4 linked regions of the Drosophila melanogaster genome follow. The protein of the gene in region 1 purifies or fractionates together with the protein of each later gene. This does not show direct contact. Each region holds a gene or a part of one and is shown in the gene's direction. Other genes may lie near its edges. The genes, in order: Syx5, Syx8, Ykt6 and Vti1a.

The links.
Region 2: the proteins of Syx5 (region 1) and Syx8 purify together in Drosophila melanogaster (affinity purification with mass spectrometry, with the first as the bait; one large-scale study listed by BioGRID). This does not show direct contact.
Region 3: the proteins of Syx5 (region 1) and Ykt6 purify together in Drosophila melanogaster (affinity purification with mass spectrometry, with the first as the bait; one large-scale study listed by BioGRID). This does not show direct contact.
Region 4: the proteins of Syx5 (region 1) and Vti1a purify together in Drosophila melanogaster (affinity purification with mass spectrometry, with the first as the bait; one large-scale study listed by BioGRID). This does not show direct contact.

What each region holds. Positions count from the first base shown.
Region 1 is NT_033779.5:16,304,565-16,310,789, forward strand, and holds Syx5 (syntaxin 5), read left to right. Parts: upstream 1-2,781; 5' UTR 2,782-3,095; coding exon 3,096-3,765; intron 3,766-3,833; coding exon 3,834-4,567; 3' UTR 4,568-4,710; downstream 4,711-6,225. Other genes in the region: c(2)M (crossover suppressor on 2 of manheim), read left to right, coding at 1-180, 233-540, 599-733, 791-915; CG5861 (uncharacterized protein), read right to left, coding at 1,395-1,756, 1,951-2,059, 2,130-2,268, 2,377-2,450; cni (cornichon), read right to left, coding at 5,339-5,366, 5,436-5,579, 5,703-5,815, 5,877-6,026. UniProt on the Drosophila melanogaster protein: Mediates endoplasmic reticulum to Golgi transport.
Region 2 is NT_037436.4:16,585,608-16,588,784, reverse strand, and holds Syx8 (syntaxin 8), read left to right. Parts: upstream 1-1,727; 5' UTR 1,728-1,806; coding exon 1,807-2,344; intron 2,345-2,397; coding exon 2,398-2,558; 3' UTR 2,559-2,677; downstream 2,678-3,177. Other genes in the region: CG32163 (uncharacterized protein), read right to left, coding at 985-1,416; UQCR-C2 (Ubiquinol-cytochrome c reductase core protein 2), read right to left, coding at 2,761-3,177.
Region 3 is NC_004354.4:7,917,843-7,923,573, forward strand, and holds Ykt6 (YKT6 v-SNARE), read left to right. Parts: upstream 1-2,566; 5' UTR 2,567-2,833; coding exon 2,834-2,958; intron 2,959-3,047; coding exon 3,048-3,522; 3' UTR 3,523-4,124; downstream 4,125-5,731. Other genes in the region: hdm (hold'em), read right to left, coding at 675-1,062, 1,166-1,322, 1,374-2,289.
Region 4 is NT_037436.4:690,235-695,782, reverse strand, and holds Vti1a (vesicle transport through interaction with t-SNAREs 1a), read left to right. Parts: upstream 1-2,863; 5' UTR 2,864-3,004; coding exon 3,005-3,098; intron 3,099-3,162; coding exon 3,163-3,761; 3' UTR 3,762-4,297; downstream 4,298-5,548. Other genes in the region: CG13894 (uncharacterized protein), read left to right, coding at 914-2,500; RabX6, read right to left, coding at 4,373-4,834, 4,984-5,163.

The sequences.
Region 1 (6,225 bases):
CCACCCGAAAAATCGGAAAAGAAAGCTAATAGTAGACAAACGAATTGAATACACCCGGGAGCAGCTGGTGAAGCATAGACAGAAATATATGGAAGAATACCTTTCAAGGAATGTGATAGTGCCAAAATCCTCGGATTTACGGAAACCCCCTAAGGAACTTCTCTGTAAACTGTATAATAAGTAGGAGCCTTATACATTTTGCTATTTAAAACTTTTTAATTTTTTGATGTAGTGTAAGTTTTTTAGCTCTTCATAACCACTCCGGACCTAAGCTCAGTAATGAAGAAAAGGAATTCGAGGCAGAAAACACATTGAGAACCATATTTGGCTGCGAGTTTACCGAGAATCTTTCTAAAGAGATATTTGTGCGACCATCGCAGGCTACAAAATGTAGGGATAAAGCGGCACATATCTATCAGCCCGAACCGCTTGAAGTGGAAGACTGTGTGCAACCTCAACTTCAGCCACGTGATGATGTAAATCAGAATTATCATAATGAAATGAATGAGCACGGCATATACCGTGAGGATAATCATGATGGTGAGTTCAGCCAATGTTTACAACATGCTATCGTAAATAAAATATAATCTCATTGCAGATACCTACAGCGTAATGATGAGTCTCTTAAGCATTTGGCGTAATAATCCGAAAATCACGGGAATCGATGCCATTGATTTTATAAAAACGTTTGATAGTCGCATCAAGGCTTCGTTAGCCTTTCTCCATTTGTTGTGTGAGTTCGAAAAAGAACAAAATGTGTGTTGGAAATAACGTATAGCTTAAATTTCAGATCTTGTTCGAGACCATTTTATAGAGATATCAAAGCGAGCTAATTCGCTGGAAATGTACCAAATTACTCTTGGCAAAGAGTCCGCTAAGCTAATAGACAATCTTATGCTGAGTGAGACTCTGTGAATATTTTTAGATAATTTTTTTCAAGATTACCAAACAACTTTGTAGTTGACAATCTTCCACATTTTTGTTGTTGTTTTGTTTTCTGTTATTGCTATTGTGTTATAACATATAAGTTGAGCCAATCTCTAACCTAGATGGCTTTAATCTACTCTTTTTCCATACAATCTTATGGTACAATTGAGCAACGATGTCCTGGATAATTCGTTTCATTTCAAGAATTGAAAAATTCTATAGATGTTACTTGTTGCTGTCTATAAAAATAGTTTTTTTTTCATTATCATATTAGTTTCGTGTACCCATTAAAAGTTGTTTGTTATCTTTGTTACTATTACGTTATCGTAGCTATAATTCATTAACATTTGGAGTAATTCTCTAAACCGTAATTGTTGTCTTTGTTACAAAATCTCAATTTCTCTGACAACACCAAAAAATAAACAAGTTACAAAAACAAAGGAATACAGAGTGTTTGGCACAATTGCTTAAATTCCGATCTGCTGGGCCAGACCCGAATAGATGTGCAGCGTGCAGAATCCAATGACGGCCGCCACCAGCGCTTTAACAGCCACCGTTAGCCAAGGTCCAATGGTCAGAATGTGGAGCATGCCCTCCAGCCAGACGCCTTTGAAGACAGTCACCGCCAGAAGTAGACTAACCAGCGGCTTTAATGCCTTGTTCAAATCGTGACGGGTGAAGAGCCAGATCAGGGTGGCCGTAGTGATGTGCTGCACCAGAAGCACGTTCGATTCCAGACACTTGAGGATGTAGATCCAACTGAACTCGGTGCCTCGGGCACCCACCCACAGCATGATACCTCGGGAAAGAATCACTTCGGCGGTGGCCCCTGCGGAAGTATACGAAAATATTTAGTTTTTACTAAATTTTTGGAAGTTGTCATACATATATGGGTTGGGGTATTAAAGGTTGAGTAGGCATTGGCTCTTGTAACATTAATATATCTGAACAGAGTACTTTTCAATCTTTAAAAGCCACCCTCATCATTAATTAAGTTTAAATAAGTTGGTTCGTTCAACCTACATCCAAGTCCAGCCGTTATGAGCTTTGAGTGGCCCTTGCCGGGTATGCGACTCAAGATTAGGGCGAATCCAAGCAGATCGGCGATGTCCATGCTGCAGCGAAGAATCTCCTGCAGACCAAAGAAACCACAACATGACCTCAATAATTGGGTGAAGGTAAACAAAGATAAGCACACGTACCGCAAAGAAGTTGAACTCGCCGCTGGAGGATGGAGCGTCCGAGTAGAAGAATGTGGCCAGCACCAGCATCTTGACGAGCTGTGTGAATATATAAATGCCTCCCGCCTGCACGCACTTCCAGAAGGCTCCATATTCTGATCTGTGATTAAATAATAAGCCGGGAAAGTTCACAAATAGTTTTTTATTGACCTGGTAGAGCTGCGGACTTGGCAGTCGGCAAATCACCAGTAACCAGAAGTAAACTCACAGGCCGGAGTATTTATAGGTGAAGTAGTACGGCGTCAGCAGGGCCACACAATTTCCAAAGTGATACAGTGTCATTTTCTTTGATAAATTATGGCTATTTTATTTTGGCTTAATTAAGAGAAGAATTAAAAGTTGAAAAGAAAAAAACTAGCGTTGCTTGCCGTGGGTTATCGATATGTGCTTAACAGGGCTGACGGCATGTCAGGCAGACTATAAAAAACAAGCTAGTTTTGCAGACAATATTTTACAATAAATATTTTAATAATAACTATTATAAATAAATATTTTGAAATATTGGAAAACGTGTGTCTTTCCGAACGAAAAGAAGTAGCAACTGTTTTAATCTGTTTCGTGCCTATCGATAGTTGCTTAAATATCAACACGTCATCGTAATCTATCATCTGGAGGTGTGTTCGTGTGTGTGAGAAGAGTGTGTGTGTGTGCGTTTGAGTGAGTTTTCTGCAACCTTTAGCAATTATTATGAATTTTTTGACAAAACCATTGGGAAATACTTGAACGGAGACCAAATTTTACTTTGTTTAGGACACACAAACCTGCCAGCTAAGTGACGAGCCAAACATCAAACGGTAAACCAGTGCATTAAAGGAGAAAAACAAAGGGGAAATTTTCGCAAAGAAAAGTCCAACAGATCATTTCGTTCGTGTGCATATGAAAAACAGCAACGTCAACTCCCTGGTAAAAGCTGCAATCTGAAATGAGATGCAAACCCGAAGACGCCTTCATCAAACAGACCAGCAGGATTACAGCAGTAGCAGTACCTATACCATTCAAGAGGATCAACAGGGAGGAGCAGGCGCAGGATCTGTGGGCACGGGAACAGCTGGCGGATCGGTAGGACTATTAGCACAGTCCCTGGTTCCACCACCAACTGGTCACGAGGCGGCCATCCACATTGGAGACAACTACCAGTCGGGCGATTCCATTTCCACTCCCGATTACTCCGACGACAAGTACGGCAAGGCGGCCCGCCAGTGGAACCTACGCGCCTTCTCGGGCCACGCACTGCGCACTTTAAGTGCCGCTGCCGCCGTGGTCACCGGCAATCAACCGGGCATCAATAACGATAGCCAAAGCAACTATAGCTACCCCGCTTCCATTCCGACTAGTTCACAGTTTTACCAATCGAAGGAGGAGCCGCAGGAAACGGAACCCGAACCAGAAATATTCGTCATGGCCGCACGCGATCGAACGGGCGAGTTCGCCAATGCGATTCGTTCCCTGCAGGCTCGAAATATCACCCGGGCAGTGAATATACGCGATCCCCGCAAAGCTAAGCAGGTTCAGAGCTACTCGGAGTTCATGATGGTCGCCAGGTTTATTGGCAAGAACATAGCCAGCACCTACGCAAAACTGGAGAAGCTCACAATGTGTAAGTACATGTTTTAGTAACCCCTTAAAGTCATATTCAAAACTTTAAAATTCCCATCTTCGTTTTAGTGGCCAAAAAGAAGAGCTTATTTGATGACAGACCGCAGGAGATTCAGGAGCTGACCTATATCATCAAAGGCGACCTAAATGCCTTAAATCAACAAATTGCCCGACTGCAGGACATCTCCAAGGATCAGCGGCGTCACACAAACGGCAAGCATTTGGTGTCACATTCCTCTAACATGGTACTGGCCCTGCAATCGAAACTGGCCAGCATGAGCACGGACTTCAAGCAAATCCTGGAGGTGCGCACGGAGAACCTCAAGCAGCAGAAGACGCGACGTGATCAGTTTAGCCAGGGACCAGGTCCGTTGGCCGCGCACACCGTCTCCCCCTCGACAGCCAAGCAGGGATCTTTGCTTCTCAGCGAGGAAAACCAAGCGGTCAGCATAGATATGGGGAGCAGCGATACCACACCACTCCTATCAACCCAGACACAGATGGCCATCTACGATGATTCCGATAATTACGTCCAGCAGCGGGCGGAGACCATGCAAAATATAGAATCTACCATCGTTGAGCTCGGCGGAATATTCCAGCAGCTGGCACATATGGTTAAGGAGCAGGAAGAGATCGTGGAGCGTATTGACACGAATGTGGCGGATGCGGAATTGAATATTGAGGCTGCCCATGGGGAGATCTTGAAATACTTTCAATCCGTCTCCAAAAATCGCTGGCTGATGATCAAAATCTTCGGCGTTCTCATATTCTTCTTCTTGTTCTTCGTTGTTTTTATGTCGTAATCAAACGCCAGTTGCCCATTAAAAGCCCCATGTACCTATCCATGTATACAGCTTTTTATTTTAATCAAGATTCAATCACAATATTGTTTATTCCAAGCTGTGGCCTCCCGAAACGATTGTAAAATAAAGTTATAAATACGTTCTAAAGCAAAATACATTTATTTTAGCATGTGGTTCTTTGGTGAATTTTTCCATTCTAATGGAAGCTCTAAAATTAAATATAATTTCCAAAATATAAAGCCGAATGATAAATATGTTTGCTGATGTAAGAAACTTGTATATTACCTTAGAAAACGTGTAATGCAAGTATCAAATTGGAGAGAGACTATATCTATGTTTGCCCTGCTGATAAGGTTTAAGTGCCCTTTCATAATCTTTATTATCTTAAGTGCTCGTTGCTCCATGTTCGTCGTGTTTAGCCAAAAATTCCGCTGTCCCTCATGCTAAACAGAAAAATGAAAATTGGTTACATTGATTTGACTTTTATTTAATGCTTAAAATCCAACTACACCAAAGATGCGATATGCAAAAAATAATCAAAATAAAAACATGTTACAATCTCTTACTGCAGAAAAGTATTACAAATTGTATGAAAAAAACAAAGCTTCAAGATGTCTTTATGGATTTACACTAGAATTTACAAGTGAAGTATTGTTCGCGGTTGATGGGGACTCTTCCCCAAAAAAGGAAGTCCTCTACCCGAGTTTAGACAACTAATACACGACGCTGATGCGTTGGCGCCAACACTGAGATCCCCAGGCAAGAGCTTGCCTATGTCGAGATGAGCGAATAAACCATGCTAAAATTAGCAATTAGAAACGTTAGACAAATGAGGACCCTGGCCACAATGAATCTCAATTAGACTTACCCGTATATGTAGTAGAAGAAGCTAATCAGATAGACGGCCAGTTTAATCCAACCCTCACGCATGTTCCGGTACAAAGTATCGGTTTTCAGGACCGTGGTGGGATCATAAAGTCCGGGTCCCGACATCACAGGGCGGTTTTTGTAACTGAAAGCGATAGGGGTATTACAAAGCATGAGTGCTTAAGGGTGCTTATGTTGGGCTTGGGTGAATCTTGATCTCCTCGGATCTCAAATCACATTATATCACACGGTCAAATGAGTCACTTACCGCCAAATATGATAGGCTATGAGGGGTATGTTGATGCATAGCGAAAACCATTCGCCGCAGAACAAGAAGAGCAAGTTCAGAAAGATGTGCAGAAGGTATTCGGGCAAAACCAGCTGAAATGCAAACACATACATTACAGGGCGCACTGCGGGTGTAAGCAGTAAGTTTACTGACCGGATTGAGGCTATTGCACTGATCAATTGGGTTCTTATAATCCGTTTTAAGTTCGTCGAATGCAATGACATGAAATATGGCGAAAAATATCAAGAATGCATCCCCGATCAGGGCCACTATGTACGTGAAGGCGGTGAAGTTGAAGGCCATCTTGTAAAATCGCTGGAGCACGTCTTCCAGGTGCTAATCAAAGTGACTTGCTAATTATTATCGTAAAATTCGGCTTTGCAATTGTAGCGCTGGGACTCACTTGTTTTTTTTTTACAAGGGCGGCGATGATGACAGCTGTGCGCCAGGGATGCACTAATCTAAACGATCAGGCAGCACAGATGTACGGTCACATTGCAAA
Region 2 (3,177 bases), on another chromosome or scaffold:
GATGGCTTGCCTTGCCTTTTCGATTTCCCACTCCCGCGCGGAAAACGCTCAAAACGGCGGATGCGCTCGCTTCCGATTAGTGGGAATGCTCGCGCACGCTTGTACAGGCACTCGGCATTGTGGCCAGCGGATTTTGGTCGCGATTTGTTTCCTTCTTGGTTGTAATTTGAAACAAATAAAATAGAAATCACGACTAAATAAATTGTGTGTACGTGTGAGCTAGCGATGGGCGATAGTTGCGTACCTGCTACTAGTCGCGATTATTTCACCGTGACAAGTCACCGCTTTGGCGGCATGTCACGACTCCATATTTTTCAAGTACAAAATTGACGTAGCACAGCAAATTTTAAACAATATGAATCAAGCATACCAATTGCATACTACTTTTATGAAATCCTGCAGCATACTTCCAAAATATTTATAAATAGCGCTCATTGTAACCCAGTGATTTCTTCACACCTTGTGTCACAGCCATCGTAGCCCAATGCATGCATGTGTGGGTGAATCGTGTCACCATATCGATACCGTGACTTTGTCCACCGCGCCGGGCCGGTCCCAACTATCGTATGTGCGTGGGTGGCCGGAGTCTGGCAACGCCCTTTGCTAATTTCAGGGTGGTCACACAATGCAAGGTGGTATATATGGAAATTAACAATTTTTTAAAATATATTGTGAAAACTAGTTTACATATTTTAAAGAGGTAATAAAACATTTGTTTTTAGAAGCATAACAAAATAGCTTATATAAGAAACCGTAATTTCGTCATTAAATATAATCTGTTACCTTTCGGTTTAGAAATTTTGAAATAATTTAAAAATAAGCCAATTCAAATTATTTTCATGTAATTTTTCAAAAACCGAAGGAATTCAACAAATCTGAACGCAAATATACGTTTATATGTATGGTGTCTATGTGCATAGTGGGGGGATTTATTTGTGTTCAGTTTGATTGTGTCGACAATTTTGAAGTTTTGTTTTCGGTTCCCTAATTTAATATGTACTTGGCGTATTGCGGCTCATACTTGTCGATGTAGTGCTGGACAAACCGACACCTTATAATAATGAAGTGCCCATTCAACAGTGCGTAGTCCAGTGCCGACTTGGCCAGTAGCTTCCCAATGCCATGTCCGCCCAGTTCCTCCGGGACGTTGGTGCTGTTGATGGTCATCACACCGTCCCTGATGGAGTATACCAATACAGCCCGGAGCTCGCCAATGTCGGTGTAGAACCGACCTCTCTTATGCCGGACAACAATGTGCGTACCAAAACATCTTTCCTGCGAATTTAGGTTTGGAACCTTTAAAATTTGACCAGTTAGGGTGTGGTTACTTGTGGGGATGGTGTAATCTCTCGAGCACAAGGAATACGTTCTTCGGCCACCTTGCAGAATCAGAATTGGAAGCAATTTGGAAAGCATTTCTTAATTTTTGTGAGTAGTTTCAGGAATTCGGGCCGAATAATCATACTTCACATCATAGTGACGATTTTCGAGTGACCAGCTTAAATTATTTAGTAAATAGTTCACACTAGCAACGCACCTGCGAGGTGAATTGATAAAGGATTGGGGATTAATCGCGGTGCATTTTTCCAGCTTATCTACAGCTACATAAGTATAATATCTAAATCAGTTCAAACATTGAAGATTATTTCCGAATCCCTTCTTACTGGCAATGTGACCGTACTCGCGCTTACTTATTTTGCTACCAGCCATCAGCTGTTGCTCGGCTATTGTTTTTGTTTTTGTTACTTGGATTGCTGGAGGCGTAGTTTTCTGCTTTTGATAATTACTCATAGCAAAAGCAGAGAAATGGCGCTGGTGGATCACGATTCCTGGGACATCGAGTACGAGGGCTGCGAGCGACTGCGGCATCAGCTGCTGGTATACCTCAACCAGCGGCAGCAGCTCAATCCGAGGACGAGCCAGTTCGTCCAACTGACAAGCAGCATTCAGACGGGAATAGAGCAGCTGGCCAAGGACATGAAGCACCTCAAGGTGGTGCTGGACAACGCCATCACCTGGGAGACGAGCCCGGAGGAGGAGCTGCAACAGCGGCGCATCGACTGGGATAGACTTACTTCGCAGCTGCGCGAGATCCGCGAGAAGTTCGCAAACAGTAGCCGCTCCAATGTCCCGGCCGCATCCGGTTCTGCTTGGCAGGATCAGGATCTCGGCCCAGGTCACAGCAATTCCTCGCGGAATACCGCCTTGGATGTGGAGGCTCTGAAGCAGAAAAAGACCGAGATGCTGGCGCAGCAGAACGAAGGACTCGAGGTTCTATCAGCCACATTGTCCAGACAGCGCCAACTGGCCACACAGCTGGGCAACGAGGTGGAGGACCAGAACAGTGGGTATTCCCCAGTCCCTGCACTACCAATGCTAATCCCTACCTCCTTGTAGATATCCTTGACAACTTGGCCAATGCCATGGACCGTGTGGAAACGGGTGTGCAGCGGGAAACACAGAGCATTGGACAGGTTAACCGGCGGGACAGTACCTGGGGCTACTGGCTCGTCATCATAGCCTTGTTCGTCGCCATCATTGTCGTGGTCTTCGTCTAGCTCCCACGATCCATTCCAGTTGTTATACTACTTTATACTATGACCTGCGTGGAATGTCTATCTGTTAACCCAAAGTTTGATTATTTATGTATACACCAATTAAAGTAGGATTTATAAGTATTTACGTTCGCGGATCGATCCCCTTGATCAGGTTTATTTAGTCGTTACATTACGGTTAACAGATGTACAGGTGTTTATATACTTAAGCCAAATCGGAGGCGTAGGGCACGTTCGCCAGGTGCCCGATGGCGCCGACGGCCAGCTTGGAGCTGCCCACCTTCTTGGCCGCCTCCTGGACCTGCGACTGCGAGATGCCATCGATTGCGCCAAGCAGGGCGTCCGCCTCCAGCACGTTCCGGGTGAGCGCCGCCTGGCGACCGATCTCCTTAATTAGACCACCGTCCGACGAGTAGCGCGAGATGATGCGCGCCTTCAGAAGAGCCTTGCCTCTGGCCACATCCTTATCAGACACCGAAGCCGACTTCAGGCCGCGCACCAGGAACTCCACGGTCTTGCCAATGTCCTTGGAGTCGGCGGAGACCACAAAACCGAACAGACCAGCGTCCGAGTAGCTGGCATTCACAGCCTTGACAGAGGCTCCGACGCCGCCGGCGCAGTT
Region 3 (5,731 bases), on another chromosome or scaffold:
AACACAACAGGTGAGATTAGTTTGAGGCAAGCTAATGGGCGTCCAGAACAGTGCGTTCCATGGCCATAAAGCAACTTCCGTATTGACACACATTGTATTCTTTTTCGAATTTGTATTAAAATGATTCAATTGTTGCACATCGATAACCATCAATTAAAAATTGTATTTGAAATTTCCTAATTGACCAAAATTGGTAATGGTATCAAATAATCTTAAAGACTAAGCGTTGATTGAGGCTGTCTTAAAAAACAGAACGTTTGATAACACAATAAAACAGTCGCAAGTCAGGACTTTAAAGAAGCATTAATCCTTAAGCATTTGTGGTTATCCAAATGCATTTTGATACCATGTTAAAACACACAACTCGAAATTACAACATTTAGAATTGACCCAAAATCAGTTTTGTGGACCTGAAACGCCCCGTAGACACCCACCCACCACCACCACGACCCAAAGACACCGGCACCTTCTGTAACACTAGGCAAAATGACACTTAGATGATTCATCCCCAATGAGCCAAACGTATCCCACTTAGGACCCACATTAAGAGTTTCGAGGCGCTTTCAATCTATTTATGTATTGCAGTTGTACACTTTTATGTGAAAATGCGAAATAAAGATCGCTATTTATGTAGATGGTTCACCAGTATTTTGATGGGACCACCCCACATACACTTAGAAAACGACCATATTTGCGACAAGCTTTTCCAGGGGAATGGCTTGCATGTCGACGACCACAATGACGAGATGATTGCGCACTCCCACCGGCTTTTTGATCATCAATCTTACCTCGAAGTATTTCAGCAGAAAGCGCCACTTTAGCTCGCTTTTCTCGCGCTCCGCCAGTCGCTCGAAGTCTTCAGCCCGAAGTCCCAGGATACGTTCTGCCGGATGTCCAGCTAACCGGGCTTCGACGAGAGTGCCGGTCTGGTCGGACAAATGAATGTTGATATTGAAGTAGCTAATGGATCGTGGTTCATCATTGTCCAATGAAAAATACTGCTGGCAGGCGTCCGAGGCGCAATCTTGCAGGTTCCGTGGTATATGTTGTTGACAGGCAATGCTGTAAAATAAAAGGGCTTTTAAGAATATGTCTTGTAAACTATGTAACGGATAGTGGGAAGCGTTTCGGCGGTTAGGAAGGGATGGGGATGTACAACACCCACCACTTCCTGTTGACGTGGGAGGTCAATCCATCCAAGTCGAACTTGGTGACCATCCCATACAGCACTGCAGTAAACTGATGTATGGACGGATCCTGCAGTTCGCCCTCGGCGCGTGAATATATCTGTCTTACCGTCATCTGCGCCTGAATGCTGGCAACTGAAAGAGTTATAGTAAATAATAATACTGCATTAATTATCCTTTACTCACCTGCAGGCATGTTGTCCAGCTCTGCCTGGTCACAGCCACTAAAAGTTGTTAGAGGCACAGTGGCGGCGAAAGCTAGCAAGAGACGGCAATCATCTCCAGCCGCCTGAGGATTTTCGCAAATAAGTGTGCAATTGGAATGGGAGAGGACGAGAGAACGATGAAAGTTCGAGTAGGAAACACGCACGTCGATCAAATGAAGGACAGTGCGACGTGGCTGCCATTGCTGGGCACGTTGTATCCAGTCGGGTTGCCAAACGGAGAGCAGCATACCTTCCGGATAGCTGGCATCGATCACGATTACTTCCAAGCACTGTAGCAGCTCCTGGACCTCACTTAGTGGCCCCTGCAGCTTTCGCTTTATCTGACGCACTGGACGCACTGCAGCCACTACTACCAGTAGATTCACATTGGTGGTGATTATCTTATCGGGAAATCCCAAGCCGGAACGCACATCCGCCAGCTTAAGGACCGCACCAAGTGGCCTTATGGGCTGATGGAGTAACTGCTGGAGAATTGTTATTTGGCCAAAGTCGTCATTGTCGTGGCGCACCACATAGCCGGATCCCTCGTTGACCACCAGGGCGCAGGAGACCGTCGCTTGGGGCTGATAACGCTGTTCTCCCGGAGCAGCAAACGGTATGGACATCACTTTAGCGCCCACAATGTCTACCACATGGCCGATCTGCAGCATGGCCGCGTACTCATCCACACAGTCCCGCTGGCCCCAGCACTTGCAATTGGTCAGGTGATTGGGGGAATCTCGGATGGTCAAGCTGAGAACCCCTCGTTCGGTGCCACTCATCTTGTCATAGAAGATGTTCGGCGAGGATTTGGAGACAATCAGGGCAACGGTGGAGAAACGGGTCATTGTGGGACGCATCTCTGCCAACCGCTGGAACTTAATACGCCTTGCCATTGAAATTATTTAAGAAATCGCGACCAGTCAGATTGCAGTGCTTAAGAAAACCGTTACATTGCCGTTACCGCCGATTAGTAGTTATCGATGTTTGTAGTGATGGTACACCACAAATGGCCGTAGATTCAGTTAGTAACAGAAAGTATTGCTAACAACTTAGTTTGATAAAAACCACAATTAAAACATTTACAGAAAGTTGCGCTTATTAATTGTAACCATTGGAATCGATAATAATCGGATGGCATCCGAATACCAGACGTACCATCCCTAATAAGCTGACACACACTACGCATATGTGCACCCGCGCACACACACACGCACACACAGAGGGGAACGGCACAGATTTACTGCGTTAAACAAACTCACTTGTCGCACTTTTCCACGAATGCCAGTGCGCTGAAAGTGAAACCCATCCGCCGGAGCATAGTAGGATTAGCCAGGACAACCGTTCAGCTCAGTGCCCCAGAAGCATTTAATTGGAGGAGCAACAGTCGAGCAACCCGCGACCCGCAGACCCAGTCTTGGCAGCCCACAGCCACTCAAAATGGTCAAACTATTCGCGTTGAGCATCTTTCACAAGGGCGCCAGCGAGGCGCGTCTCCTGAAGACCGCCTCGGACCTGCAGTCCTTCTCCTTTTTCCAACGTGGCACCGTCAACGAGTTCATGACGTGAGTATGCATGTGGATGCCAAAGAACGGCGCAGGCTCAAAGAGTCATCAATGACGAACACCCCCCTAAACAACTCCTCCTCTTGCAGTTTCGCTTCGAAGACGATTGTGGAGCGCACACAGCCGGCCCTGCGGCAATCGGTGAAACAGGATGCCTACATGTGTCATGTCTATGTGCGGGCGGACAATCTGGCCGGTGTACTGATCGCCGATCATGAGTATCCGCATCGCGTGGCGCACACGCTTATCACAAAGATTCTGGATGACTTTACGGCCAAGGTGTCGGCCGATCAGTGGCCCAATGGCACGGAGGCCACTATCTCATTTGACTTGCTGCCAGCGTTTCTAGCACGCTATCAAAATCCCGTCGAAGCAGATCCGCTGACGAAAATGCAAAACGACCTGGACGAAACGAAGATCATACTGAAGAATACCATCGAGGCGGTGCTGGAGCGGGGCGAGAAGCTGGACGACATGGTCAGCAAGTCGGAGAAATTGTCGCTGCAGAGCAAGGCGTTCTACAAGACGGCGAAAAAGACTAACTCCTGCTGCAGCTTCACCTAGACGACAGCTGCACCTCTCATCACCCCCCACCACACGCTAATCCTCTCAAGCAACAACCACAACAGGAAACACCAGAAAATGCAAATCAAAGACAACACAAAGGATAATGGATAACACGATAACACCAACAAACTACAACCAAACAAACTCCAAGGGAGCGGTGCGACTTGGGCTTTGATGATTGCTTTTTATAAATGAATTAGTTAATTTTATATACTATATATATATATTATATTATATACTGTATGAATAGGATGGCCAGTTGCCAGTTACGATAGTCCGCTAACCCAATGTCTACCTGTCTGTATATGTCTACGCTTTGGATATCTAAATGTTAATTACTACCAATACAGATTACGATCTAAACCCATGTGCTTAACATAATCTTCTCTTCACTTATGTGTTGGCACGGCGGTCCAAAATTGGCCCTTTGCTAGCTATTGATGTTGTGGGCCTTCTTATCGCCTCCACGGCGGATCTATGTATACCAATCGGATCGGAAGGCTGCACCTATGTATACACATGCAGTCGCACTTCCGATCCGGGCAACTGGCGGTCGGAATGTGTGGGCGTTTCAATAAAGAAGTATTATGGGAAATGTGAACCAAGCTCGTTTTCATTGCTCACATATACAAACCTTATCTTTGTCAATTTTGGCAAAATGTACAAACTATTTGTACGAGCTCTGTACATAGCACATGAACTTATTTTTATTTATGTAATACGTACCACTTTATCTTAAGTGCAAATTCCATTCCTCCCAAAAAAGCAAAATCAATTTAAAAGTGATTTTCTGTTGGCGTTTATTTATTATATAGAAGACACCTATTTCGCTTCTTGTAAAGATTTCCGTTACATTTTTCATATTTATGCGTTTTCCTTACGTTTTCGTGTTTAACCTTTTGGATTTTGGTTATGTTTAATGGGTTCGGTTTGTATAGCCTAGTATAAGATAGGTAAATCGATTACAATTTAGTTTTCGCCCCCTCTCCATCGCAATTTTCTTGTGTGTTTGCGCGGGGAGAAAGGGGAGGCGGTGCATTATAAATATATGCATTATACTGCATACCTATATCGTTTCGTTATAATTAATATAATATTGTGTGTGCTAACTTAGCTTAAGCTGCAAACATTGATTCAAACGCGTTTGCTTGGCTTCTCGTTTTTTATTGATTTGCATCAACATTGTATGCATTTTTTTTTTGTGTTAGTGATCTATAGTAATATTTAGAATTTATTCAAATGCTTTCAATATATGCAAGTGTAAATATTAGTCGATGCAATGTTCTAAATGCACGCTCCTTCGAAATGGCTAAGAATTTGCATTTGTGTTTCCTGGTATGTGTATTTTTTCTTCTCAATTTTTTCGCTAAAAATTAGCATTGGTCAACACAACAAATGAAAATCAAGAAAAGTTCTCCCTTCTTTTCAAATCAGTAAAAAATACGTGTGTATGTGCGGCTGGATGAGTTTTGTATTCATTTAAAAACTAGTTTGGATAAATTGTTGGCTTGCTTGCTTTTGATTGAATTTATATTATTTAGGACTTAGTGGGGGATCCCCGTTTCATCGAATTCCAATCGAAATACGTACAAGTAAGGTTCTAACGTGTTTCGTTTACGCAGCTGTTATCACAATGGGTTTTGGTTTCAACTTGCATTATTTTTATTATTTTAAAGTTAGTTCCGTTTGCCGGTGGCAACTTTAGCTTACATGCAGCAGCTAAATGTTATTTGCCCCACGATTCTAGTGTTTAATGGTTTCCATATTTTGTTTTCAGAACCCTCAAAAGCCGCTCCTAACTTTGGCGCTTAAAAGTATGCTTGTTTTGCAGGTCTTGCGTGCATGTACACATGTACATGTAATGTGTTCGCTTGTGTTTGTATCATCTATAAGAAACTTGTGTGTCTGTGTGGGTGGGTGTTGGCGTGTACAGATGTGTCTTTGTTTAATTGTTTGTCGTGTGAGTGTGTGTGTTTGTTTGTGTGTGTCCGAGTGCGTGGGTGTGTGCGGGTGTTTTTGCTGCATTTTTGGCACTTGTGCGTATCGCACTGTAACGGTAAATGCATTCACTTTATCGACTTTATCGACATTGATACATGTATATACATACATATTTTGGTTAACCAATGATAAAGCTTAAGACAAAACAAATTACAAAGTAAAACAAACGCAAAAACGTAAACTACATCATAAACGCGTATCTGTG
Region 4 (5,548 bases), on another chromosome or scaffold:
TGAATCTCCAGCGGTGTGTATCTGAGCGATACAAAATACAAGTCATAAGTGGGTGTGTGTTTGCTCCGATATGGTTTTCTGACGGTATGGCTTTGGTTCTGTTTTTTTTTCCGGGGGCTATATTGATTTCCGAAGGCGTACGCATGTATCTTTTGGTTTTGTCTCTGTATCTGTAAAATGGCTAGAGTGGTCGTGCTATTGGCATATGCTCTTTAGAGGTTTCGAGGTTGTTCCTATATACTGTGATATACTTTTATAAAAATATGTATTGGCTTGCCATTATTTCGATGACTCATGTCATCTGCTGTAAGTCCCAAGAGATAGACACTAGCTTGTTCGTCGAATTCATTTTTCATTTGTAAAGTTGTCCTTCTAGAGTTGCTAACTCATTGGTTTGTTGTAAATATCTGTGTTCTGGGAAAACACGATCTCAATCGGGTAATTTACTCGTTTTAATCATGGAGATCAGCACATTAATTTATTGTTATTTGCCAAACTCGTATACGTTTGAAACTGAAATATGTAAATATAAAACTCCGATTGCATTGCAATATGGAAATCGTGGGCTCAATTGCACTAAGATAGTTCAAATGCAGACACTTGTTGCAAAGTGCGCCAAGGAAAAGGGTTAAAGGATGCCAGACTCCATGTCCTAGCCCAGAACTTGCCAGACCTCCTGAACTTTGGCGGTAAATTGAGAACGCGACCATGAAGGAACACAGAACATCGCAGATACTTAAATTGAAGTTAAATAGCCAGCTTAATAATGTGTGCAAACACTCTCTTGCAGATTCCAGTGGATTTGTTTTAATTTCATTTACATTTCGTGACCTGGCGAAGCGTGAGCAACGCCAGCACTCCAGCATTTAAGATTCGGGGCCAACAGCAATTTCATCCTCATCCGCAGGTCGAGATGCCGACCATCCGGCGGTGCTGCATCATCGGATGCTTGTCCAATTCGCGTCAGCACCCGAGTATGCAGTTCTTTGCGTTTCCCCGGCCGGAGAACCCCTTCCACAAGCTGTGGAAGGAGGCGTGCCACGCCTCCCTAAGACGAATTGTGCCCTTCAAAAAGCCAGTGGTATGTGCCCTGCACTTTGACCCCAGTGTCTTGGGTGGCAGGCGACTGCAGTCGAATGCGCTGCCCACCCTGCGTCTGGAAGTTCCCTCCAACCTGGAGGCCGTTGAGCAGCAGGCCATGGTGGAGGAGATCGAGAGGAGCCGAAAGTGCGCCTACATCAATGCAGTGGTATACGAATGGCTAGTAAGGGCCAATATCAATCCCCAGCTGCGAGGTAGCATTACCCACGGAATGATCAAGGACAAGGCGGAGAATGCCAGACAAGTCATAGGGAGCACATCCTTTATAGCAGACAATCGCTGGTTAAACCGTTTCCGAGAGACTCATCTTCAAGGCTTTGCCCAAAAACTAGCCAGCAACCAGTTGAAGCCACTAGGATCCTCCCTGTGGATCCCGGACATCGTACAGGACCTAGCCCATCTCTTTCCGCCCGCGAGCGCTGAAAGAGTGGCCAAACTGGAGGAGATGCCCGAGCAGTACATGACCTACATGCAACAGTACGGAGAATACGAAGAAGATGATGACAGTATGGATGTAAAGGAGCAGAGCTATCAAGAGCAACAGCAGCAGCAACAGCAGCACTTTGCCCTCCAGCAGCAACATATGCAACAGCAGCAGCATCAAATGGGCCACCCATGGCCACCGTTTCCAGGACATCCCGGACATCCTACTCCACACCCCGGGTTCGCCAGCTTCAACGACTTTTATTTCGAGCGGCATCAACAGCAAATGCAACAGCAACTCCAGCAGCAGCAGCAGATGCAACAGTTTCCACCCACTATGCCACCTCAAAGGGAACCCTTTCAGCCCCAATTGCCGCCAAATGTTCCACCGCAGCGGGCCAGTCCCTTCCAGCCCGTTCAGTTGGCCAAGAGACCCAAAATGGAGTCACCCGATGATGACGAAGTGCAAGAGATTAACTCAGCGGTGAACTCACCACCATATCCGCTAGCAGAATCAACCTTAACCAGCAAGCACAGTCGAAGTTCCAGTCCCAACGAGCAGAACAACAATAATAGCGGGGGAAGAGACAGTGCCAGCAGCAAGGAGAACGCCCCCAAGGGAGGCGGAACAAGTGGCAAATCCACGCCTGCCCTTTCTTCCAAGGGAAAGGACTCACCTGCACCAGCTCGAGCTGCGTCCACCAAACCCGCCTCTGCTCCCGCCTCGCCAAAAAAGATCCCCAATGGATCCAGCTCCTCCGGCAGCCAAACCAATGGACACACATCCCCAGACCCCGAGGATAAGAAGGCTTTATGCATGCTGAAGGAGTTGGAAAGCTACCACCAGGCCTTGGAGTACCTAAAACCGCTGGAGGACTTCGTGCTCTTCAAGGAGAACTTTCGGGCTATTGGCTTGCTGTCCCAATTGGAACTGGTGCTCCGAAAAGGGGACAAGGCCACACTGGTCGAGGGTTAAGAGTTTTCTAATCGCGGACCAGGACAGCACAAAACATAAATGTGATGAACAGTGTACATATGTATCATGTAGTATTATTAAATCGTACTACCGCCAAAACAGTTGCTTAGGTTAACAAAGAATCTCCACTCGCATAAAGCTGAACCTAATTAATTAATTTATTAATTACTCTAAGTACAATAAAATGGAATTTATAAAATAATAGATATGTTTGTGTTTTATTTACGTATTTAAAACGGAAGTTGGTTTTATCTGAGTTCTTACGAGAATATTGTAGTCCTTGAAGTTGGCAGTGTTTTTTACATGAGTATGGCAACGCTGACTCGAAATCAGAGTGACCACGACTTAAAAGTATTTATAGATTGCTGTATTACTGTTCACCTCATGACTCGGCCACACTTGGACAATGTTTACTTCTTTTCTTCGATAAATCTGTAATTTTCGCGAACTAAAACAGAACAAATACCATAAACAACTGAATAAGGTAGAATAAAAACCGCACAAATGTCGCTTCTGGAGCAATACGAACAGCAATACGCCACGTTAATAGCAGAAATAACGGCCCATATTGGACGGCTGCAGCAGCAAAACAACAACAGTGAGTGGGATGATTGTCCATGGATTGTACATTATGGTGATTACCATTTGTCCATTTACTCCAGGCGAGCGCCATGATTTGTGCAGCAAGATCGACTCCAGTTTGCCCGAGGCTCAGGAATTGCTGGAGCAGATGGGTCTGGAGGTGAGGGAGCTAAATCCTGGACTGCGGAGCAGCTTCAACGGAAAGCTGCAGGTGGCCCAGGCAGAACTGAAACGGCTGCAGGCGGAGTACAGGTTGACCAAGGACAAACAGCGCTCCCAAGCCAACACATTCACCACTCTGGACTTGGGTGACAGCTATGAGGATGTGTCCATAAGTACAGATCAACGCCAACGCCTCTTGGACAACTCGGAAAGGATTGAACGGACGGGCAACAGGTTAACCGAAGGGTACAGAGTGGCCTTGGAGACGGAGCAACTGGGCGCCCAGGTCCTAAATGATCTGCACCACCAAAGGGAAACTCTACAGGGAGCCAGGGCTCGACTTCGAGAAACCAATGCCGAGCTGGGAAGAGCTTCTCGCACTCTGAATACCATGATGTTAAGAGCCCTGCGGGAGAAGGTGGTCTTGTATGGAGTGGGTGTCTGCTTTGTGGTGGCCGTGGGCGTCAGTCTCTATCTGACCTTCGCACCCAGTTCAAGCAGCACCGCCTCGTCGTAGTAATTTTAGCTAGCAAACCAATAGCCAATGATCTTAGCCCAAATTCAAATGTTATAGAAGCCTGTCCATTCCAATTTCGTGAGTTGATTATTTATTGTTTAGTATATTTTATTTTTACGAGATATTCTGTGGAAGAAAGCTGCAGATTACGCACTAATCTATATAAGATAGGATGGAGTATTACGTGCAATAAGAGTCGAAGCTTAGAGTAGTTATCTGCGGTCAATCGATGTCTATATATTTTGTTGTCCTTTTACCTTTAAGATTAAATTGACCTTCTTGTTAATCGATGGAATTCCTATTACTTTTTAATTCTTACCGCAGATTTCTAACCTATCACTCGCGTATCCGCCATCCTAGCTTACGTGTACAAAGTTTAAGTGGTTAATGTTTGGCGCCTGGTTAATAGAAACTAATCCTACTCTATGACTCGTGTTCGCGTTCGGGACGTATTTTTCGTAAAAATTCGAATTGAACATGTACGTATCTAAAAATCATAACATAGCCGAAAGCTATCAATAAATAAAGGAAACAGTAAAAATGCATCTCTGCGTGAGCATTGAGCCTGGCGGGAATAAGGGTTCCTAGCCGAACTCAATGTTCCCCAACTGCTAGCAGCCGCAGGAGGAGGCGTCCTCCTCGTTGGTCGCCGCGCCGCTGCTCGCAGTGTCCACCTGGAAGCTCTTGTGCTCCAGTGCCTGCAGTTCCATTTTGGAGCGATTGGCGTGGACCAGTTGCCTAGAGATGTCACGGAACATCTCCTCCACACCGGCGCCGCTGCGACAGGAGGTCTTGTACGTGGCACTGATCAGTGAGTGGCACTGCTCGCAGAAGGCCTCCACTTCCTCATCGCTGACCTCCGGCTCCCTGCCATCCAGATCGCTCTTATTGCCACAGATGAAGATCTTGGCATTCTCTGCATAGGTCACAATGTCCAGCAAGTGCTGCGACAGCGAGTGGAACGAAGCGGCGTTGTCCAAAGCAAAGACCAGGATGGCTCCCTCGGCGAACTTGTAGTACGAGGATGTGACCGAGGCCACACGCTCCATGCCACCGGTGTCCCAGAGTTGGAGCTGTCAAAGAAGACGGTATATACATAAGTGTCTCACAACGCAATAAGTTGTAAGTCTGAAGAACTGTGGCTTTCGTCTAGAAATCGAACTAAAGAGCTTAAGGATTCATATCTCAGCCATCACGCCCTTTTAGAGGTTCCCGAGCCCACCTTGATCTGCTTTTCATTCACACTGTATTCCCTATCGATGTGGTCCAGTCCCAACGTGGATTTCCTGTCCGTATCCGTGATGAAGGTGTTGGTGGCGAAGCGCCGGAACAGGGAGCTCTTGCCCACTCCGTAGTCGCCGCACAGGATCACCTTTTGTTTGGGTATGCGCATCGTGGCCATGGCTGTGATCGCTCGATTAATCCCAAGTTAATCCAATTAATATATTATTTTGCACCTGCAGACACAAAGGCGACAACAACAGTGCGACAACAGCTGTTTGTGCAAAAACAGCCAACATCGCAGAGTTGCCAGCCATTTGAACGCTATCGATAACCGATAATTCGAGTTATTCGAATTCAAATGGTCTTATCAGTTGAGATCTGCATTTGGTTTTAGTTTAGGCAAAACAATTCCACCCATTATAATAATAATATACAATATTGTAAAATTGTTTATGAAAAAGGGATTATTTATGGAGGAAGTTATCGTTTCAACATTAGTTGTACCTAAATATACGTACATAAACAGATATTCAACTTCTTTTTAAAAGGGAATATACAAATTC